3 linked regions of the Oryctolagus cuniculus genome follow. The protein of the gene in region 2 interacts with the protein of the main gene of each other region in a pairwise test. Links are inferred from orthologs where the notes say so. Each region holds a gene or a part of one and is shown on either strand. Other genes may lie near its edges. The genes, in order: EIF3E, C2H4orf19 and PDCD10.

Evidence for each region.
Region 1: the proteins of C2H4orf19 (region 2) and EIF3E interact in binary tests that used the Homo sapiens proteins (3 or more experiments, as listed by UniProt). The two-hybrid records come from large-scale screens. The link is inferred for Oryctolagus cuniculus from reciprocal best matches to the Homo sapiens genes PGCKA1 and EIF3E.
Region 3: the proteins of C2H4orf19 (region 2) and PDCD10 interact in binary tests that used the Homo sapiens proteins (3 or more experiments, as listed by UniProt). The two-hybrid records come from large-scale screens. The link is inferred for Oryctolagus cuniculus from reciprocal best matches to the Homo sapiens genes PGCKA1 and PDCD10.

What each region holds. Positions count from the first base shown.
Region 1 is NC_091437.1:133,432,436-133,439,098, reverse strand, and holds part of EIF3E (eukaryotic translation initiation factor 3 subunit E), read left to right. Parts: intron 1-1,213; coding exon 1,214-1,340; intron 1,341-2,448; coding exon 2,449-2,550; intron 2,551-4,214; coding exon 4,215-4,324; intron 4,325-6,663. UniProt on the Homo sapiens protein: Component of the eukaryotic translation initiation factor 3 (eIF-3) complex, which is required for several steps in the initiation of protein synthesis.
Region 2 is NC_091433.1:31,581,465-31,588,227, forward strand, and holds the start of C2H4orf19 (uncharacterized protein C4orf19 homolog), read left to right. Parts: upstream 1-3,102; 5' UTR 3,103-3,252; intron 3,253-6,763. UniProt on the Homo sapiens protein: Acts as a tumor suppressor. Acts as a tumor suppressor for colorectal cancer cell proliferation by targeting KEAP1/USP17/ELK1/CDK6 axis.
Region 3 is NC_091435.1:112,786,606-112,793,368, reverse strand, and holds the start of PDCD10 (programmed cell death protein 10), read right to left. Parts: upstream 3,732-6,763; 5' UTR 3,552-3,731; intron 3,341-3,551; exon of another isoform or gene 2,782-3,340; intron 1-2,781. UniProt on the Homo sapiens protein: Promotes cell proliferation. Modulates apoptotic pathways. Increases mitogen-activated protein kinase activity and STK26 activity. Important for cell migration, and for normal structure and assembly of the Golgi complex.

The sequences.
Region 1 (6,663 bases), on a different chromosome or scaffold from region 2:
TGCACCCCATGGGAGACCAGGAAAAGCACCTGGCTCCTGTCTTCGGATCAGCGCGGTGCGCCGGCTGCGGCGGCCATTGGAGGGTGAACCAACGGCAAAGGAAGACCTTTCTCTCTGTCTCTCTCTCTCACTGTCCACTCTGCCTGTCAAAAAAAAAAAAAAAAAAAAAAAAAGAAGTGTAGCAGCCGGGTCTGGAACTTCACCCTTATGGGATGCAGGTATCACAGGCAGTGGACCCATAAAAATTTTTTTCACATACCCTCCTATAATAGTGTTTTTCATGCCATGCATAGTACATCAATGCAGCACTTTATTTATATTTTTGTTGTTACTAGTGTATACTTGTCAGATCAAAACAAAGAGGGAGCAGTAGACTTTGGGTTCTTAAGGCACGGTGGAGTGGGGATTTTTTTTTGGTACTGAGTTAGAATGCCAGGCATTGAACTGACATGCTAGCCATGCTAAAAGAATGCCATATACATTCATATTACCAGACCATAAGTCCTCACCAAAGCATTCTCAGCAGACAAAACAGAAGCTGTCATGAAAATTTAGAAAATTTAAAATGTGATATTGCATCATAGCAGACGTTTCTCACAAAAGTTAATGAAAATGAGGCTTCAACCAAAATAAGTTGGGTTTTTTGTTTGTTTGTTTTGGATTTTTTATTATTTTTGTTGGTACTTGAGGGGCAGAGACAGAGCTAGCTCCCACTCACTAATTTACTTCCTGAATTCCTGCAACCAGGGGCTTGTCTGGAGCCTAACCAGGCTGGGTCCAAAACCAGAGGCCAAGAACTCAAATCGGGTCTCCCATGGGGGTGGCAGGAACCCATTACTTCTGCAATTGCTGTTACCTCTGAGGGTCTACATTGGCAAAATGAAGTAGTCAAGAACTGGAGTCAGCAATTAAAGCCAGGTTCTCTGATGTCAGGCATGGACATCTTAACCACTAAGTTAAACACCCACTCCCAAAGTAAGTTTGACTCATTTTTTTTGTTAGCTGGCATTTTCATCATTTTGTTTCCTGAAGTTAGATTCTGTTTCTGCACTTTCTTGGAGGAAATCCCCTTACAGTGTTTGCAGTCTCAGACTAGTGAAATATTGCAATTTAATGGGCTATACGAGTGTTTCCTTTAATTCACACTGGCTTGTATATCTAGAAAACTAGGGAAGTTATTAAATGTTAGATAACTTTTGTATTTTAACCCTAGGTATCTTAATGCAATTCAGACAATGTGTCCACATATTCTGCGTTATTTGACCACAGCAGTCATAACAAACAAAGATGTTCGAAAACGCCGGCAGGTGCTGAAAGATCTTGTCAAAGTTATTCAACAGGTAAAAATTAATCTTCATTGATTTTTAAACATACCTAATTTTTTTTTTGACAGGCAGAGTGGACAGTGAGAGAGAGAGAGACAGAGAGAAAGATCTTCCTTTGCCATTGGTTCACCCTCCAATGGCCGCTACGGCTGGCACACTGCGCTGATCTGATGGCAGGAGCCAGGTGCTTCTCCTGGTCTCCCATGGGGTGCAGGGCCCAAGCACTTGGGCCATCCTCCACTGCCTTCCCGGGCCACAGCAGAGAGCTGGCCTGGAAGAGGGGCAACCGGGACAGAATCCAGTACCCCGACCGGGACTAGAACCCGGTGTGCCGGCGCTGCAAGGCGGAGGTTTAGCCTTATTGAGCCACGGTGTTGGCCATACCTAATCTTTAGATGTACCCTCTTTATTTTAAAGTAAAACCCCTACTTCTTAAGATAAAAATGTTTTTAGAAAATAGGGAAGTATACATGAAATTTAAAAGATGGATGACCCTCTTGGACATTACTCTCTGTAAGTCTAAAATATACCTATGTTAGATGTGATAGAATGATTATTGCTGTCTACTAGGTGGATACTTAAAATATATTATGTACTTGTGTTACTCTTACTACAGAGTGAAAGAAGATCTGGAGTCTGGAACTGTTCATTGAGGGGTCATTACTTGCCTCATAATTTAATAAGGGTGATCTGTATGGAGAATACAATTAATTGTCTCCAAATTGAGTAACACTACAGCTGATTGATTTTTGGTAAATGCTTCAGCAAGAACCATGGATTGAAAAAAGAACTTAAAATATTAATTTGATCTAAGAATGAATTAAGTACAGAGAAGTCATTACCATTCAGTAGGGTATGGATGTCTTTATATTGGGGAAGTTTATCACTGTTTACTGACTAATGGAGACTTTTGGTATTGGAATTACTCTGGGGAGAATTTAGAGAACTTGATTTGGAAGACATGATCCTGGAATCAGTGCAGAAGCCATTGCTTTGAGATGATAGTAATTTACTAGAAATTAATGGCAACAATAGAGAAAACATGAAAATTGGGATAATCTAAGGACATTGTAATAAGTAATGTTGAAACAGATCTAACTTAACCTTTGACTTAATTTTACAGGAATCTTACACCTATAAAGACCCAATTACAGAATTTGTTGAATGCTTATATGTTAACTTTGACTTTGATGGGGCTCAGAAAAAGCTGAGGGAATGTGAATCAGTGAGTATAAAGTTTTACTTGCAAACTAATACTGTTCTTAATTCTTTTAGCATTATAGAGTTAATCTTGCAGTGTTTTAATTATCATATCAAGTAATTCTATCAAAAATAATTGTGTATTTTAAATAACTCATGGTTTGAGAATTTGTTGCTATAGATAGATTCCTTTTGTTAAGAAGGTTTATTCAAACATTTGGATATACTGTAAATTCACAGGTATATCCTGATTCTATGTCTTACTCTGAATGAGTAAACATAAAATACTTCCTGTGTACTTTAGGGTGATCACTTTGAGTTGCCCATCACAGCTCTTGTTCTCAGTTTGTTTCTTAGGTGGGCTTATCTTGGGAAATGTTCACATGATTATATTTCTCATTTGCTATAAAGCAGATTATTATTGTATTACTAGTGTCCTATTAGCAGAAACTAAAATTCCTTGAAGAAATGTGGAAAAGTTAGATTATGGTTCTTCTGAATCAGATTGTAAGTTTTAAGAAACTAAACTAAGAGCTTAATTGCTAAATTTAATTGCCTTTACCACATTCACACATTACTAGTCATCGGATTCATCTTTTCAATACAAATTTTGCCACAAAATAAGTAAATTTTTTGACAGACTGAGATCTTATTTCTATAAGGGAACAATACGTAAATACACTCAGAGGTGATTTTCAACTACTATACAAAATATAGAAGTAGAAACCAATATTATAGCTTGTGTTACTATAGGCACATGTAACATTTTATTAAAGTAAATATTGGTGTATGTTCATTATGCTTGAGTATCTAGGGCTTATTGTGGAACCAGAAGAGTCAGAGGACATTTGGGTTCTTAAAGTAATCTTTTATAATCGCTTTAAGTAATACTCTGAGCTCAGAAACAGCTCTTAAGGCTTACTTGTCTGGCTGAAAAGCCCATGAGAGCATTTTGGGCATGGAAAGTCAAGACACTATGGCAAAAAATGTTCTCCATGAAGGATCTCTGTGAGTGAAACCCTAGTAGAAAGAAGTGGCCATCAAAGGAGGATGTACTTTTCTCTGAAGGAAGGAGAGAACTTCTACTTTGCTTATGGCTTTGTCTAAATATTGACAGAGATTGTAGATTCCATACCCTTGGCAGCTCATGTCAAGAGCCTCGGGTGGTCACTGACATCATGCATAAGAGTGTTAATTGTTAAATTAACAACAGGAGTCATATATAAGAGTGTTAATTGTTAAAATAACAAGCAACAGGAATCACTGTGCACTAACTCCCCTTGCAGCCTCTGTCTTCAGTGAGTTGTATTATGAGAATGTGTGCGTGTGTGTGTAAATTGTTGAAATCTTAGTATAGAGTTGATCTTCTCTGTACAAAGTTGATTGAAAATGGATTGTAATTGGGAATGGGAATGGGAGGAGGAGGAGGAGAAGGTATGGGACTGTGGGTGAGAGGGTGTTTATGGTGGGATTATATTCCTAAAATACTTATGAAATTTGTATCCTTAAAAGGTAAAAAAATTAATAAAATAGTCTTTTAGTTATACCATAAATGGAATAGCATTTCCATAAATACATTCCATAAATATATATATTCCATAATGGAATAGTAGCTACAAGTTTTGAGTCAAGTTTTTGAAAATTGCTTGTCAGCATTATTAATTTTTTCTTTTATGTTTCATAACATAGGTGCTTGTGAATGATTTCTTTTTGGTGGCTTGTCTTGAAGATTTCATTGAAAATGCCCGTCTTTTCATATTTGAGACTTTTTGTCGCATCCACCAGTGTATCAGCATTAAGTAAGAAAACCCTGTGTTGATGTGTATTTTCTCTTTTTTAATGTCTTGGAAAGTTACATTTAATAAGATTCCAGTTAATTTTATTTCCATTTGCTTTTAGAAGAAAATAATTTGATAATGGATTACTTTTAGCACCCCTAACTTTTTTTAATTATGAGAAGCTACAGGCTCAGAAATATTTAGCTTGCATGATGTGTGGCACAACATAATTTTTCAAAAAGATAACATAATTGACAGTTACCTAATATTATTAAACCATTACACAGGGAGGAAAGTGAAGTAACCAGTTTTAAAAATGGTTTTCAACAGTTCAAGAGTTAGCCCTTCATAAATCAGAAATTCTGTTGAAAGACTATTACATTTGGCAATCACTTCTGTTAATTGAGTTTGTTTTTATTTAATTACATATTTGAATTCTTATATAGTAAACTGCTGTAACATGCGCTAAAATGTTGAAACACAGAAAAATTATGGTGAATTTTAGTTGAAATTCTCTCTATTGTGTAAAAAGTTATTGGGGAAAGTTGTGAAATGTACATAACCTATTAGAAAGTAATTTTACGTATTAGAATTTGAAAAATAGCCAGTGCCCTTTGGCCACAGATGAAGCCAAACATAATTTTTTTTTAAACTTAGCTACTTTAATGTTTGCCTCTAAGGAATTGTGTAGACCAGATTCTTTTTCTTTAATGCCATTTGTTTTTTGCTTGAAGGATCCATACTTTGCTAATTTTATTGGATTGTCACTGAAGTGGTTATCCAGGGTTAGAAGTATAGGATGATTGTGGGTTTTTTTCTGTGGTAACTGAATCCTTAACATCAGTTTTATTACTACTTTTCTCTAACTTGCAGACAATTTTTAAATCTTACTCTTTTAAAGAATACATTCAAATTCTTAGTATGTAGTTTTTTGTGAAATAGAGGTAGGTGCATCATATGTGGGGCGCTGATTTAGTTTTATTGGTACTTTTCTCTAGTTTGGAGACAACTTAAAAATCTTACTTTCTTAAAGAATACATTCAGACTACTAATAGGTGCATCATATGTGGGGTGCTAGTGGACAGTTGATAACTGAATTCTTGCATTGTTCTTTGTTTCTGAAATTTATGACTAGGGTTGTGAAATAGGGCTGTTAGTGTTTTGATTTCCCCATTTCTGGTTAGACTGTGGTCACTTGGGTGGTGTTTTTGTTTTGTTTTATTTTGGTTTTTTTTTGTCCAGAACTTTACCTCTATAGTGAGCCTTTTGAAAACTGACTCTTGTTTTTGTAATTTTAATACCTAGCATACTAGCTTTCTAGCATATAGCATGCTTTGTATAGTGTAGTACAGATATAGTATAAATATTTGTAAAATGAGTCAATTTCTCCTGTCCTTTGTATTAGTAAACATGCATATTTGTCCTTGGTATCGCTTTCTTTAGTTTTCACTTCTGTAGTACCACAAATAAGATTTGTTCTAATACTGGCTTTTTCTCTTTATTGAATCTTACTTTTTTCCTTGGGACTCAGTTTATGATATTTGTTAATTTTTAAATTTTATTTATTGGAAAAGCAGATAGAGAGCTCCTGTCTCTGTTTCACTCCCCAAACGCCTACAGCAGCCAGTAGTGGTCCAGGCTGATGCCAGGAGCCCAGAACTCGATGCCAGTCTCCAGTATGGGTGGCAAGGACCCAAGTACTTGAGCCATCCCCTGCTCCCTGCCAGCATGCACATTAGCAGGAAGCTGGAATCAGAAGCAGAGCTGAGATTTGACCCCAAACATTCCATTTTGGGATCTGGGCATCCCAAGCAGCTTTTTAACCACTTAACTACATCAAATAAATGCTCACTCTTTTTATAATGTTTAACTGTAAAATTACTTGTTCTGCATACTCACATGATATATACAGTTCTAGAAGGTAATAAATGGACTGGGAATGTTTATGTAACCTTTCATATGACATTATCATTAGATAAGAAATTTTCAAATTTATCTTGATGTAGGGTTTTGTTTTTTCTTTGATTGGACCACAGAGAATTCACTAAACTACTTTAAGATTAAATTTCTAGTGCCTTTGCAAAGTCCAGAAATCTTTTTATTCAAATGATAGAATTCTAGCCGGCGCCGCGGCTCACTAGGCTAATCCTCCGCCTTGCAGCGCCAGCACACCGAGTTCTAGTCCCGGTCAGGGCGCCGGATTCTGTCCCGGTTGCCCCTCTTCCAGGCCAGCTCTCTGCTGTGGCCAGGGAGTGCAGTGGAGGATGGCCCAAGTGCTTGGGCCCTGCACCCCATGGGAGACCAGGATAGGTACCTGGCTCCTGCCATCAGATCAGTGCGGTGCGCCAGCTGTGGCGGCC
Region 2 (6,763 bases):
AGGAATGGCTGATGGGTTCATTCAACAAATATTTATTTGGTCATGCATTTTGTCAGGAATAAAAAGGTAAATAAAATAGCTCATGCCTTTTAGGATCTCAATCTTAATAGGAAAACAGGAAACAGGCTTTTTGCAAGTGCAAGGCATTGTGCTTCCCTCTGGGGTTGTGAGTGCAAAAGGAGAGGATGATGGCCAGGTAGTAGCAGTCCTACTCATGAATATCTCTAGTGAGAGAGCAGGATGAAGAAAACTCTTCCCAAATGCCGCCCCCCTTTAACCTTGGACCTGGGAACACACACATAGACCAAAAATAAATACACACACACTTTAAGTAGGGCAGCATTGGAGAGCTTCAGGAGGAAATAACCAGATGATACCTAGTATCCAGCTGACATGAAACAGTCATCCTGAGAGAAATTTAGAATCAGGAGGTTAAGAAAACTTGAGTAAATCATCTGCCAGGTTTCTCTCCCTTGTCTTCATATGGCTGAGACTGAGTGTGTGTTTAAGATTTACCTCCATAGAAAACCTAATAATTCATGTCAGAGAATTCTTTCTCAGAAATTTATGCATAAAGATAAAATCTCCTTTCCACCTCAGACTAAAAAACAAATTGCTGATCCGTTTTTGCATAACAGTATTTCATGTATATGCAGTTTACTATTTCTATGCCTTCTATCCTAGGGTCAAGTACACAAGTAAGGCATGATTGTACATCAAGGTGTTTTGTTATACACTAGCGTGATTTGAAGATCAGTCACACGTGACTCCTTCTGTCTAGAATCCTACAATCTAAAGGAGACACACTAAGCCAATTCGAAGATTGATAAAAGGCTGTTAGTAAAAGCAGAAGCCAGAAGCTGAGGATACACTGCTGAGGACCAATTTATTCCACGTGGGCATCAAAAAGGACAAGAGTAAGAGGTTGAAGAATAAGTGGGAACAGGCATCAATGTCAGAAAGGCATTTCAGGTAAAGGAAGCCACATGAGCAGAAATGGAGAGTTGAAGCACATTTTAGATGACATAATGCTATGTTGGGAATTTGGGCTTCATTAAGAAGTCAATAGGGAGCTATGAAAAGAGTTTTGGGAAGGGAATGGCCTGGTTGGAATGGCATTTTAGAATGGCTCAGGCAGTACTTTATCAGATTAGACACGGAAGAGACCTGAAGCTGGAAGACCACTACACATTATTGCAGTGATCGAAGGCAGAAAGTATTTGAACTTGATGTTGGGACATTAACAATGAGAATGTAAGAGGAGAGACACTGTGGGGGAGGGATGTTCAGGGCTTACTGGTGGAGGCAGATGAAGGAGAAGGAAAACCCAAATCCAGTTCCCGTTGAAATTGGGTAGATGGTAGAGTCACAAACGTCAAATGAATAGAAGATCAAAGTGTCAGAAACCATGAATAAACTCTAACCTAAAGAGTTTAAGGGCAAGATATCCATGCAGACAACTGGAATTATGCTGCCGATCCCATGGAGGAATATGAGAAAGAATCCAAAAAGCTATCTCTTTCAGGAACCCTTAATCACAATGTCTAAACGTGGTGTGGAATTCTCTTTGGATATAATGTAAGCTGTTACCATAAACTTAATTTTTATTCTTTTTGTAGAACAATTTCACACATTTGAAACTAGATTTTTAACCCCACTGAAATAAATTGGGTTTCCTATCTTCTAAGACCCATGATCTGGGAATAACTTATATACCAATATAAACATGAACACTCTTTGAAAATTAATTGTATTTTCACTCCAGCATGCATCATCAGAGTTTTCTGTTTTTTTATGAGCTTCACCCCACCCTGGAGTGTCTGCTGGGCATCCAACTGATTTGTACAAAATGCACATTACATTTTGTACAGACACGTGGAAAGCTTGGTTTCCGTGTACCAATGTGACAGGCTGTCTGACACTGACAAATATCAACAGTACCTCTGACTTTATCCCAGCTTTTAACAGATGAGGGTAACTTGGGCACCTGCGTACGCAGGCTCAGAGCACTGGTTCCAAAACTAGAATGTGTGTCACTTGTTAAAACATTTTTCAACCTTCCTGTCCCCCCCACTATTTCTGAATCAGTATATCTGGGATGGAGCCCAAGAATATTCTTTTTTACCGAATTCCCTTAGAAGACACTAATTCTGCTAGTGTAAGACCACACTTTAGAACTCAAATACAAATCTTTTTTGGACAAAATAACCTAACTGATAAAGATACCAATATCCCATAGACATTATTAAAATCTTGTCTAGAAATTGGACACAAGCATTACTTAGGGTAACAAAAGGATTTTTTAAGATCAGAAAATGGCATAAAATAATATATAACTTCCCTCGCATATCTGCCATTTTATGTGGCACAAGCCGTGTGAAAGTAGCTGGTGTAACCAAAGGGTAGTGGGTCCACGTTCCAAAGGTTCCCGGTGCTGTGGTCTCTCCGAGTGCTGCTCTCCCAGCCCTCCCAGGATGAGCAGAGGGGAAAGGGAGAAGAAGGGAAGCTAGGTGGCGCAGCGGATTAGCGCATCTCGCTGGCAAGTCCAGTAATTTGTTTTGGAGCGCAGTTGAAAAAGTCGTCCCAATCGCTGATGGTATTTTTCCAGACAGCCTGGATACTTGAAGGCTGGCAGTAACTACGGGTGGGGAGCTCGGCAGGTTGGATGGAGAGCTGCAACCAAAGTCCTTTCACCCCAGCAAAAGACAGAGAAGGGAAGGGATGTATGGGGAACCACGGTTTCCCTGAACCCCGGCTCCTAAAGGCAGGCGACAGGGCACGCAGCGGGTCCCAGCAGCTCAGATCAATGCCGAGGGGGAAGTAGGAAAAACGCAAGCGCACAGGGAAGAGGCGCACATTGGCCGGACGGTGCGTTTATTTTTCTCCCCCACTTAAGCCGCGATCCTCGGACACTGCCTTCTCCCTACAGCACGACAGAAAAAGCAGGTCCCCCACCAGTTTCCCAGCACGGCGGGCCCTTGGCGGCCTGCGCCCCAGAGGTCGGTGCTCAGTGCGCCCCGAAGAGCCAGCGCCGCACGCCCCGCTGCGGGGCGCGCAGGTAAAGGGTTACGCGTGCCGCCGGGGCTCGCCCGCGGGCCGGCCACGTGACGCGGGGGCCCAATGACGGCGCCGGGGCGGCCCGGGCTAGCGCCGCGGGCTCCGGGCGCTCCTCAGCCGCCCGCGTTTCCCCGCGCTGCTGTCCGAGGTCGGCGAAGCCATGGGCGCCGCGACCCCGCCGCCGCCCGGCCCCAGGTAGGGACGGTCCCACGCCGTGCGCGTGGTGCCCGCCGCGGGAGGAGAAGGGCGGGACTGCCGCGGAACTTGGCTTTGGGGCACGACGACCCTGATTTCTCTCGCGGGTCGCTCTTACTTCTGCATTTCCCTTTGCTCTGCAGTAGTGATAATTCATGACTAACACATAAGAGGGGAGAGGCGGTTCTGACTGGATGAGTTGGACCAAAGTCGCGCCATTCAACAAAGGCGCCGTCAGAGAAGCGAATCGGGGCGCGGGAGAGGAAGACTTTTACAAATTCTCCAAACCAAAGAGCTAGACGTTCGGGGGGCTTGGCTCTAGCTGGTTGTGTGGGGACTCTTACTGTTTTTCTTTTAAATCCCCCAACTAATGAACTTTGGTGGTGCATAAGAACTTGAACTGGAAAACTGAGAGACATTGTCTCGTGTTTCTGTGTCCGTCAACACCGCCCCCCCCCCTTAAGCATCTGAATGTCTTGAATAAAACGGAAATGGAAGGTGACCGCCGCAGTTTCTTTGAAATGTCCTTGGGTCGCAGGATTTGCCTCCCCAGCTCACACCGCCAGGTGCGGGCGCCCTCGGGGGCAGAGCTGGAGGGAAGGGAGGCTGTGCTGAGCGGCGCAGAGCGTGCCAGGTGCGCGCAGTTAGGCGGTCACTAAATATTTAGTAATTAGGCAAGCATCTCCCAGGTCGATTGACCTTGCTAACCCTGATGAGGTGAGATTTGCACAGAGGGCCACTGAAGAATTTTTCCAGTGACGGGAGGAAGAAATCAATTTTTTTTCCCTCTCGCACCATAATGGACCTTGAAAAGAAAACAGAAAACCCTTCCTGTGTGACTTAGCACGGTTTGTTTTCCATCACAGAGTAGGTGTTTATCCTGTGACTTTGGAGCAAGTCAGGTCTTCTATGAGGTGGCTCAAATCATTTTTCAAAAATATATGGCGGTTGTTTTCTTCCTTGTCACTGTCTGGGGGAGAGAATTCCTGATGGTGCTTCTCACCCTAGCTGCTGGGAGTCCTCAGTGGTTGCAACCAAGCTGCTGTGAGGAGTAATCGCCAGGGCAGAGAACTGAATGAGAAAGTCAATGAAAGTGGGCCTGTTTTTACTGATGATACATTCCTTACTGGCTGCTCCCCCTCCGTTGAATCCTCCAGTGAATGCTCATTTAACAGGACAACCCAGGTGTTACAGCCTTGTGACTCTTAAATACCAGTGCCTAGAGATCAGCTTTCTGGTTCCTTCTGTGAAAACACTGCCGCTGAAACAGTCGTTCGAAGCTCTAACAGTAAAGTTCTTGGGTGACTCGCTTTTCTCTCCAATGTGAAGATTTCCTTAAGAGCAAGCTGCTTTAGACACTGAGAAGAGGGACAGATGCTGCAGGCAGGGCAGGGTGTGCGGCTTACCTCTCTTCTCTGCTTTCTGTTTGTCCCTCCTCTGATCCTGCTTTCCCTTCGCTCAGCAAGTCATGGCGTGTGCCCCAGGGCCAGGTCCTGAAGACTGAAATAGTGAGTGATAGGACCGATTTTAACCATGCTCCCAAGAGCTTTCGCACTACAAAATTTAAAACAAAACAACAACAAAAAAAAACAACAACTTGCCTATCACCTGAAAACTTTCCATCCTCCTAAAAATGGAGTGATTTCCCAGCTGGTGCCTCTCTCAGCCTGGAAACCCAACCTGGCCAAGCTCTGGTCAGGATCTAGTCCCAGGCCAAAGGCAGAGTGGGTGCTGCAGTCCTTGCTCTCAGAACTGCTCTGCCCTGGTGCCCCGGGAGCTCATGGACTGACTGAGCTTCTTAAGGACTAGCCTCTCGGTAGCTGGGTTTCCACTCCCTGGACCGAGTTTCAAATTCCCTAGTTACATACCTTTTCCAGTAACCCTGAATCTAACTCTTTTGGGGTCTTGGTTAAATTGTATCAAAAAAAAAAAAAAAAAAAAACAGCCCCCGCCTCCTGTTAGTTGTCATTCATTCTGTTCTGCTCACTGCACTTGATTGGTCCCAGATAGACTTCCTAGGTATCTAGAAAAGAAAAACTGGGAAGAGTTGATTGGTTCATCCTAGACTCATTTGTGGGTCAGAATGGTCACCCAGTTGTAGCTTTTCTTAATGCCTGCTCTTACCTGGAGTCATCCTGCCTCCCTAGTTGTAAACCTTTCTTACTCTGGTTATGCCTTGAATGCTTCTTAAGAGGATAAAGTGAAGATTAAATCTTTCGTTTTCTCACACCGTTTTCACCGCTGAATGTCATGGCCCAACAAGGGTTGGGATCTTCAGAAGCAAGATGATCCTATCCTAAAACACCATACTGATGAGTGTGCATGATGAGAAGCAGATCATTGAAAACAGTGTTGTCAGGCATGCTGGAAAGGGACGCTCCCGGGCTACAGTGACCATTGCTCACATAAGACGTGTCTCAGACTATACTGTGAGCACTGAACTCTGTTCTGTTCAGTGTACAAGTGGCTCTCCAAAATTAAACCCTCATCTGGCCTTGGGAAGAAGGTATGTAGACCTAGAGTCAACAGGGAGTGTGCCAGGTGCTGGGGACATTGGCCCTGTCTTCAGGGATCTTACAGTCTCAGACAAGGCCTTTGAAGGATTTTAGCAGAGCACATTTTTGTTTTAGACAGTTCATTCTGCGCACAATGAGAATGGAATGAGGAAGATGCAAACAAAACCAAAGGCAGCTGCTGCAAAAATCCATGTGAGAGGCAAACATTTGGCCTAGCAGTTAAGATATTCACATCCCTTGGGGTGCACCCACTACACTGTGGCATACTGGCTAAACCTCCACCTGCAGTGTTGACATCCCATATGGTGCCAGTTCTAGTCCCAGCTGCTCTTCTGATCCAGCTCTCTGCTATGGCCTAGCAGAGCAGTACAAGATGGCCTAAGTTCTTGGGCCCCTGTACCTGCATAGGAGACCCAGAAGAAGTCCTGGCTTTGGATCAGCTCAGCTCTGGCCATCACAGCCATCTGGGGAGTGAACCAGCGGATGGAAGACCTCTCTCTCTGTCTCTGCCTCTCTGTGACTATATCTCTCAAGTAAATAAATCTGAAAAAAAAAAAAAAAAAAAAAAAAAAAACTGGCGCCGCGGCTCACTAGGCTAATCCTCCACCTGCGGCGCCAGTACCTCAGGTTCTAGTCCCGGTTGAGGTGCCAGATTCTATCCCGGTTGCTCCTCTTCCAGTCCAGCTCTCTGCTGTGGCCCAAGAGGACAGCGGAGGATGGCCCAAGTCCTTGGGTCCCTGCACCCACATGGGGGACTGGGAAGAAGTATCCGGCTCCTGGCTTTAGATTGGCGCAGCGCTGGCCATAGTGGCCATTAGGAGAGTGAGCCAATGGAAGGAAGACCTTTCTCTCTGTCTCTCTCTCTCACTGTCTATCTCTCTCTTTCTCTCTCACTGTCTAACTCTGCCTGGCAAAAAATAATAAAAAGAAAAAAAAGGAAAAGAAATGGTTAGATGACTGAGTCTGTCTTAATCTGCATGACATTTCAAACTACA
Region 3 (6,763 bases), on a different chromosome or scaffold from region 2:
GCTTCAATCCTTTATGTAGGCAGGAAGCTTATCTCTTTTATTCATTTCTGAATTTCTGTTTCTAGCAAAGTGAAAGAAACACTGTGAATGAATATACTCATTTATTCATTCAGCAAATATTTACTGAACACTTACATTGTGCCATGTACCATTTAAGTACAGGAGTAGGATACACGACAAATCAGAGAGCCCTGCTCAGGTAGCTTAAAGTCCAGTGAGAGAAACAAATATTTACCAAATAAATCAGAAATAATTAAGATCCTCTTGTGATGATGCCACAAAGCAGTACAGAGTATAGTGAAGATACAGTGGAGACCTATTCTGGTTTTGGAAAGGAGCAGTTCAAGGTTAGGGAAGGCTCCCTTTAGGAATGACATTTAAAATGAAACTTGAAAAGTGTCTAGGATTTGGTCAGATTTGAGAACAGTCCAGGCAGTGAAACAAAACATGTGCAAAGGCCCTGAAGTCAGTAAGGACTTAAGTATTTAGTAACTAAAAGGGCTGACAAATGAGAAAGGCTGGAAATCAAAGCATATTGTCAACAGTAAATAAGAGTCAAAAGGGTTATAACCTTTGAACATTTAAGTCACGTTATGTGTTTTCTCACCAAAAGGAAATAATCTCAGAAACTAAGTCCTATTCCATAATATTAAAGATGCAGTTAGAAGATCCAGATTACCCATGCCTTGTTCCCACCAGTTACCAGCTACATGACCTTGAGCAAGTAAACCCAACTGAATCTCTTCAGTCTTTTTAAAAAGGCACTCAACCTATGCCATCTACTGAGACTACAGTGATAAATACAACATGGCCTCTCTTCTTCTATTTGTAAACCCCAAAATGAGAACAAATGTGGATAACAGTAAAGTGCACACAGATGCACACATCACTCTGTGAACTCTCTTAATTATCCAATATGCAAATGATCACTGTACTCAAGCATGTGGCCGGAAGATGATAAATGTAAGAGAAACATTCCAATGACATTCCAGCAGAGGTGAAATATCAAAACTGAAATGAATCTCAGAGATAAAGAAAAATTCATGGTAAACTGAACCAAGAACAAAAACTGATATATGCTGAACAAGTAGATTATATTAACTTCACTTATTTCCAAAATTTCTCTAGTTCAAAAACTCTTTTCATAACCACACAGCTGCATGCCAAAAGTCAGAACTCATTTCACACCGTGCCCAACAAAAGCAAATATTTACACTGCCATCTAGAAAATGTATTAACATTCTTGCTTACCACCACTTACTAATGCATCTATGGTCTACTTAAACTACTTCACCTTTCTAATTTGACACAAAGCCAGTTAACTCCACACAATTTTCCACCTGTTTGGTTGACTCTTCCTTACAGGTGCACTATTTTGCTTATGGTGCTTATTATTCTCGATTTCACTTGATTCTATACTATCATACCTCTCCTTCCATTTTAAAGTTGTATCAATTTCCAGACCATCTTAACTTCCATAATATGGGAATATGATACATTTGATCCTAGAAAATACTGCTGCATTTAAAAATTACACACATTTAATATTAATATTTATAGTGTGTTCAAAATACAATGTATTTCAATGGTCAACTTAGATAACAATAAACCATGACAGATGATTGCCAACTGCAAATAGATTATTTATGAATATAAACTTAATGTGAAAAAATCCTGACATCAATGAACATATTCCCACATTTCTATTAAAAAAAAAAAACTATTCAGTATTAATACTGAGGAGCTGTCCTGGGTCGTAACAATTACAGGAGATAAGACTGGGAGAGGTGCATTAGTTTCTACTCCATATGAAATGTGTCCTGCTTTTCCATTCTTTAATACAAACTAAGAATGAATTAAAAGTCACAGATAGGGGCTGGCACTGTAGCGCTGCAGATTAAAGCCCTGGCCTGAAGCGCCAGCAGCCCATACGGGTGCCAGTTCTGGTTCCAGCTGCTCCACTTCTAATCCAGCTCTCTGCTATGGCCTGGGATAGCAGTAGAAGATGGCCCAAGTCCTTGGGCCCCTACACCCACGTGGGAGACCTGAAGGAAGCTCCTGGCTTCAGATCAGCACAGCTCCAGCGGTTGTGGCCATCTGGGGAGTGAACTGTTGGATGGAAGACCTCTCTCTCTGTCTCTACCTCTCTGTGTAATTCTTTCAAATAAATAAAAATAAATCTTTAAAAAAATTTAAAAAGTCACAGATGATGCTGAGAAAATTAAAATATGTAAGAGCCTCATTCTTTTATTTACACACACACACAGAATCAAAGAGGGGAGAAGCAAATGAATCACAAAAATATGTTACCTCCAAGAAATGCAATGTTATCTTCTTTTCTAGTAATGAGCACACTAAACTCTCCTTAATGTTGCATTATTTGAAACAAAAAAAAAGTGCACAGTAAGTTTTGTTAAAGAATTCCATCCCCACTGTTCTCAGTTTTACAACATGAGAGTGGAAAAACCACCTAAGGCAGGAAGGGAAAGGAATATATCCTTTTCACAGTAAGGATGGAATACACTGTTTAAATGACTTTCTCCTATTTCACTATCTACTTTTAAAAATGGACTGTGGGAGAAGTCGATCGTTAATATAGCCCCAATAAAGGACAAAATACGTAACTGATACTGATCCTTTTTATTTTTCAAAAAGGTCAGAGAAAGTGCTTCAGTGAGGAATTTCACCCCAGTTTAGAAAAAAAAAAAAGAGAGAGAGAGAGAGAGGGAAAAAAAAGTCACCCTTCAATCACTCATAGCTTCTTAGAAATCCATAAAATACCATTACTGTGTCACTTCCTCCACCTTCCTCAAGAAACACGGCCCGTCTCCGCACTTTGTGACTCCGCCGGCATCTCTGTCCTGTTCAGGACCAAGTCCCTGCCTGTGTGACCTTGGGCACGTCATTTACTCCCTCAATTTCTTCAACAGCATCCTGACGGGAAAGCTCTTCGAAAGCAGTTCCAGCCGTAAACAAACCTATCTTGGGTATCACACCCTCAACAGGGTCGAGCGGTTCTGCTCAGGGACCCCATCTCAAAACACTCAGAATCCGCCGATCTGTCAACATCTGACTCTTCCTACTCCGTTCTCCTTTTCCTTCAAAGGGCATAACCCCAGTCACCCCGGAGCGAAGACTTCCAAGCAACCCCTCCTTCCCCAGCCACACTTACGAAGCAAGGGGGAAACAGCAGCCTTACCTCTCCCGCCCCAAGCCACACCTTCGGAGGACCCCACCCCAGGCACATCCGCCCTCTCTCCTCTCGGGGGGAACCAGAGGCCAACCTCGCCCTTCCCCTCCGCCCCCACCTAGAGCACACTTCCTGGAGGCGTCCAGGCCCGAGCGGGGCGGGCAGGCGGCATTTACAAACCCGCTTTACGCCACTCGCGTAGGGTAACCTCGCTTACGCCCATAGGGCCCCGCTCCCAGCCCCGTCCGCTCCGCCAGCCAGTACCAAGCCCGAGTGCCTCAGCCCCGGCCCCTGTGTGACCCCAGACCTCTTCCACCGCGCGCGGAGACACGGGGATAGGGGCAGAACACCCGCACCTTACCGGCAACTGAGGCACTGACTTCACTTCCCACCTTTGGAGCCCTCTTCAACTCCCGGATCAATTCACTCCGGCGACGCCGGAAGGACCCGAGAGGAACCAGGCGTTGTCCGGAATCCTGCCCAGCCGGAGAGGCGCAGTGGCCTATGGGGACTCGTAGTCTCGCTCGCCGGCGTCGTCTGCAATTCCTGCGCTCCTAGGACTACACTTCCCGGCAGGCCATACGGCAGAGCCTAAGGCGATGGGTGGGGACACTCGTAGCCAATAGTAGGAGAGTTCCCGGCCTTTGCGGGAGGAGGTGAGAGGGAGAGAGAGGGTGCAAGGCTAGGGGAGGAAGGGCGGGGCCGGCTCTCACCTGCGCCAATCAGGGTGCAGGGTCGGCCCCGTAGGCGCCTCACCCAAGGAGGGGGCGGGCTGCCGGAGGAGAAGACGGAAGCGGGTGGGGGGGCCCGAGGTAGGGAACGTGGGGCCGGTGGAATGGGTCTGCAGCGCGGGCAGAGAGGGAGCCTGGAGTGCAGGGAGTGCGGGGACGCTCCGCGGCCGGGATAAGCAGCTCCGCCAAGCCCCAGACCCGCAGGTTGGGGAGCGATGGGCTGAGCCTGGGCTACCTGCGGAGGCGCCAGGGCGCGGCAAGGGAACAAGTCCAGGTGTGAGAGCGGGGAGAGGGTGGGAGGAAAGGGGGACCCCCGGTACGAGGGAAGCGGCTGGAGCAGCTTCCAAAGTGCAGGGAGCGGGCAGGGACCCGGGCGGCAGCAGCAGGAACAGCAGGGGGAGGAGCAACAGCTGCCCAGTTCGCCAACTGGAGGAGGGAGAGGCGGAGCTTGGGTCCCGGTGGAAGCCGAAGGCGCAGCCTGGACCGTAGTTTCCCGGGAGAGACCCGAGCAGGAGCGGGAGCTGAGCGGAGTGCAGTCCCTTCGAGCCTCAGCTCCAGCCGTCCGCCGAGGGTGGCAGGTGTGCGGGAGGTAAGCGTGGGCGCGTTTTCCGGGGCGTCCGCACACTGCCCGGGAGGAAGCGTCTTTGCACAGCAGTTGCAGCAGGGCACAGCTCAGACCGTCTGCCTTCGGCTGGAAAAACCGGGGCAAACCCTTTCGGGTGAAAGATGCACATTTTTGGACTTTGAGGAGGAAAAAAAAAAAAAAAAGAAAGAAAGGTCGCTTGACCCTGGGTATAAAGGGTGTGGTTGGTGTTTTTGGTTTGAGTTGCACGATTCAAACTGTTGTGGGAGGTCTCAAGATTGAGGGAACCCCTACTGATTGAGGACCGGGTGGACGGTATTCTGGATCGGTACGTAGCTGATGAAAAGCAAACGTCTCGTCGTTGATACAGAATTACTTCCGAACTGTATCCCTAGAAAATAACTTTGCGTTCTTCTTCAGCGTCTGCGGGTACGTTGGATGCTGAGATTGTCCGCTGCGGACCTGTTATCCAAGGTGGTTGTAATGCAGGTCCGTAGAATTCCGAGATCTGTATTAAGCTAATGCAGTCAGGAACAGCGGGATAGGATGGGTGCTCCCTGAACCTGTGGGAAGTATAACTTTTGCCAGTAATAGTGTAAAAATGTGTTTTAGTGGATGGGCACTTAGCTTTCCTTCCAGCGACTCTGGAATATTGGAACAAAGACCTGGACTCAGCCTACAGTGGGAACATATGGTGTACATCATTGCTGCTCCTTATTCGCTCATTTGTGTCCAGTGATATGTGTACATTTCAGAAAACAAGAGGACAAGGAAAGCTGTCTGAGGATCTTTTCTGTGTTTAGTGCGTACGTGCTAAATGTTTACCCTTTGTATGAATTATGATGGGTTCCGGTTAAAAACATCATAAAATAAGAGTTTATTCTCAGAATTAAGCCATGTGTATATTTCTTTGAGTGTAATTATAATAGTACTTATGGGTGGAAATATGGTGTAGATGGAAATATGCTGAAGATAAAAGGTGCATCTAGCTTTGTGTAACTGACAAAAATTGCAGGCTTTTCTCTTTAGAAAAGTAGTAGGATCTATCTGGTGAGTTCATTTTTCATTTTCTTTTTGTTACAGAGTTCCCCAGATTACATGGCTTTTAATCATAGTAGGGTATTGCAGCACATTTTGTTCTGAAATGCCTTTACTGTGATAGTTGTATATTTCAGTCTGGGAATACTTTCATCTAGGTTTTTTTGAACTAGGGTCAATAAAATGGAGTAATTATCTTTTATTTTCCAGTTTTCCTGATTTACCTAGGATTTTCAATTTTATTTTTGTACTGCACACATTTGTTTTTGAAAAGAAATGGCTCAAAGGAATTCTCTGTTTAAAGTTCAGTCCTACTGAGTGCTACTACTGAAAAGCTTAAGTGACTTACCAGTATATACATACTCCATCTTTCCCACACTCACACTGCAGAACTATGGAGACAGACAAATCTTAGCAAAATAGCTGCTCTTAGATTGACCCGGAGCTGATCAGGTAAGTATTAGCAGCAACAAAGAGCTTAGGAGAATGAAAAAGCCACTGTAGCCACTAAAATTAGCAGCCATGGTAAGAGTCAGATTTTTATCTTTGCTACACCATTGGAGAATCTTATTAATCCACATAGCTGCTATGACTCTGTAAAATTATTTTGGTAGGAAAAACTGGGTACTAGGGTTTAGTGAGGCTTGGAAAAAGATCACATTTGTCCTTGTTATTTGTGATTAAGTGGATTGTCCTGAATCAGAATCTTCTATTCTCTTGTAGTCTGTACTACTAATTCATTTTATGAAACTCAATATTTACTGTAGCCAGGTTATTTCTCTCATGTATTAGTAATAGTAATGATAATTCATTTTATACTGGCAACGGAATTCTTACAAAGCCTTTGTCAAAAGATATTTTTGCAAGAGTTTTGTTGACAATAACCAAGCATATGAATAGAAAATAAGTATCACAAAGGTTGAAATTCAGATATACTTTGAAACCCAACTCTTTACAGGTCTTCTGCTCTGAGGTATATAAAAAGATAAGAATCTCATCAGAAAGGGATGAGTTTGTAGTATTAAGGTACTGAATTTTTCACGTTTTTCCAAGGTTTTGATCCTTTTTATTGTGTCATTTAGAGAAATTGGGTTGTTGTATCTTTTGAGAGTAAGAAGATCATGCTTTTATGTGAGAGAAAAACATTAGCAGTGTATGGTGCTTAGACATTTGTTTATTACCTTGAACTCTTGACTGATCTTAATTGATATTCACATTCCA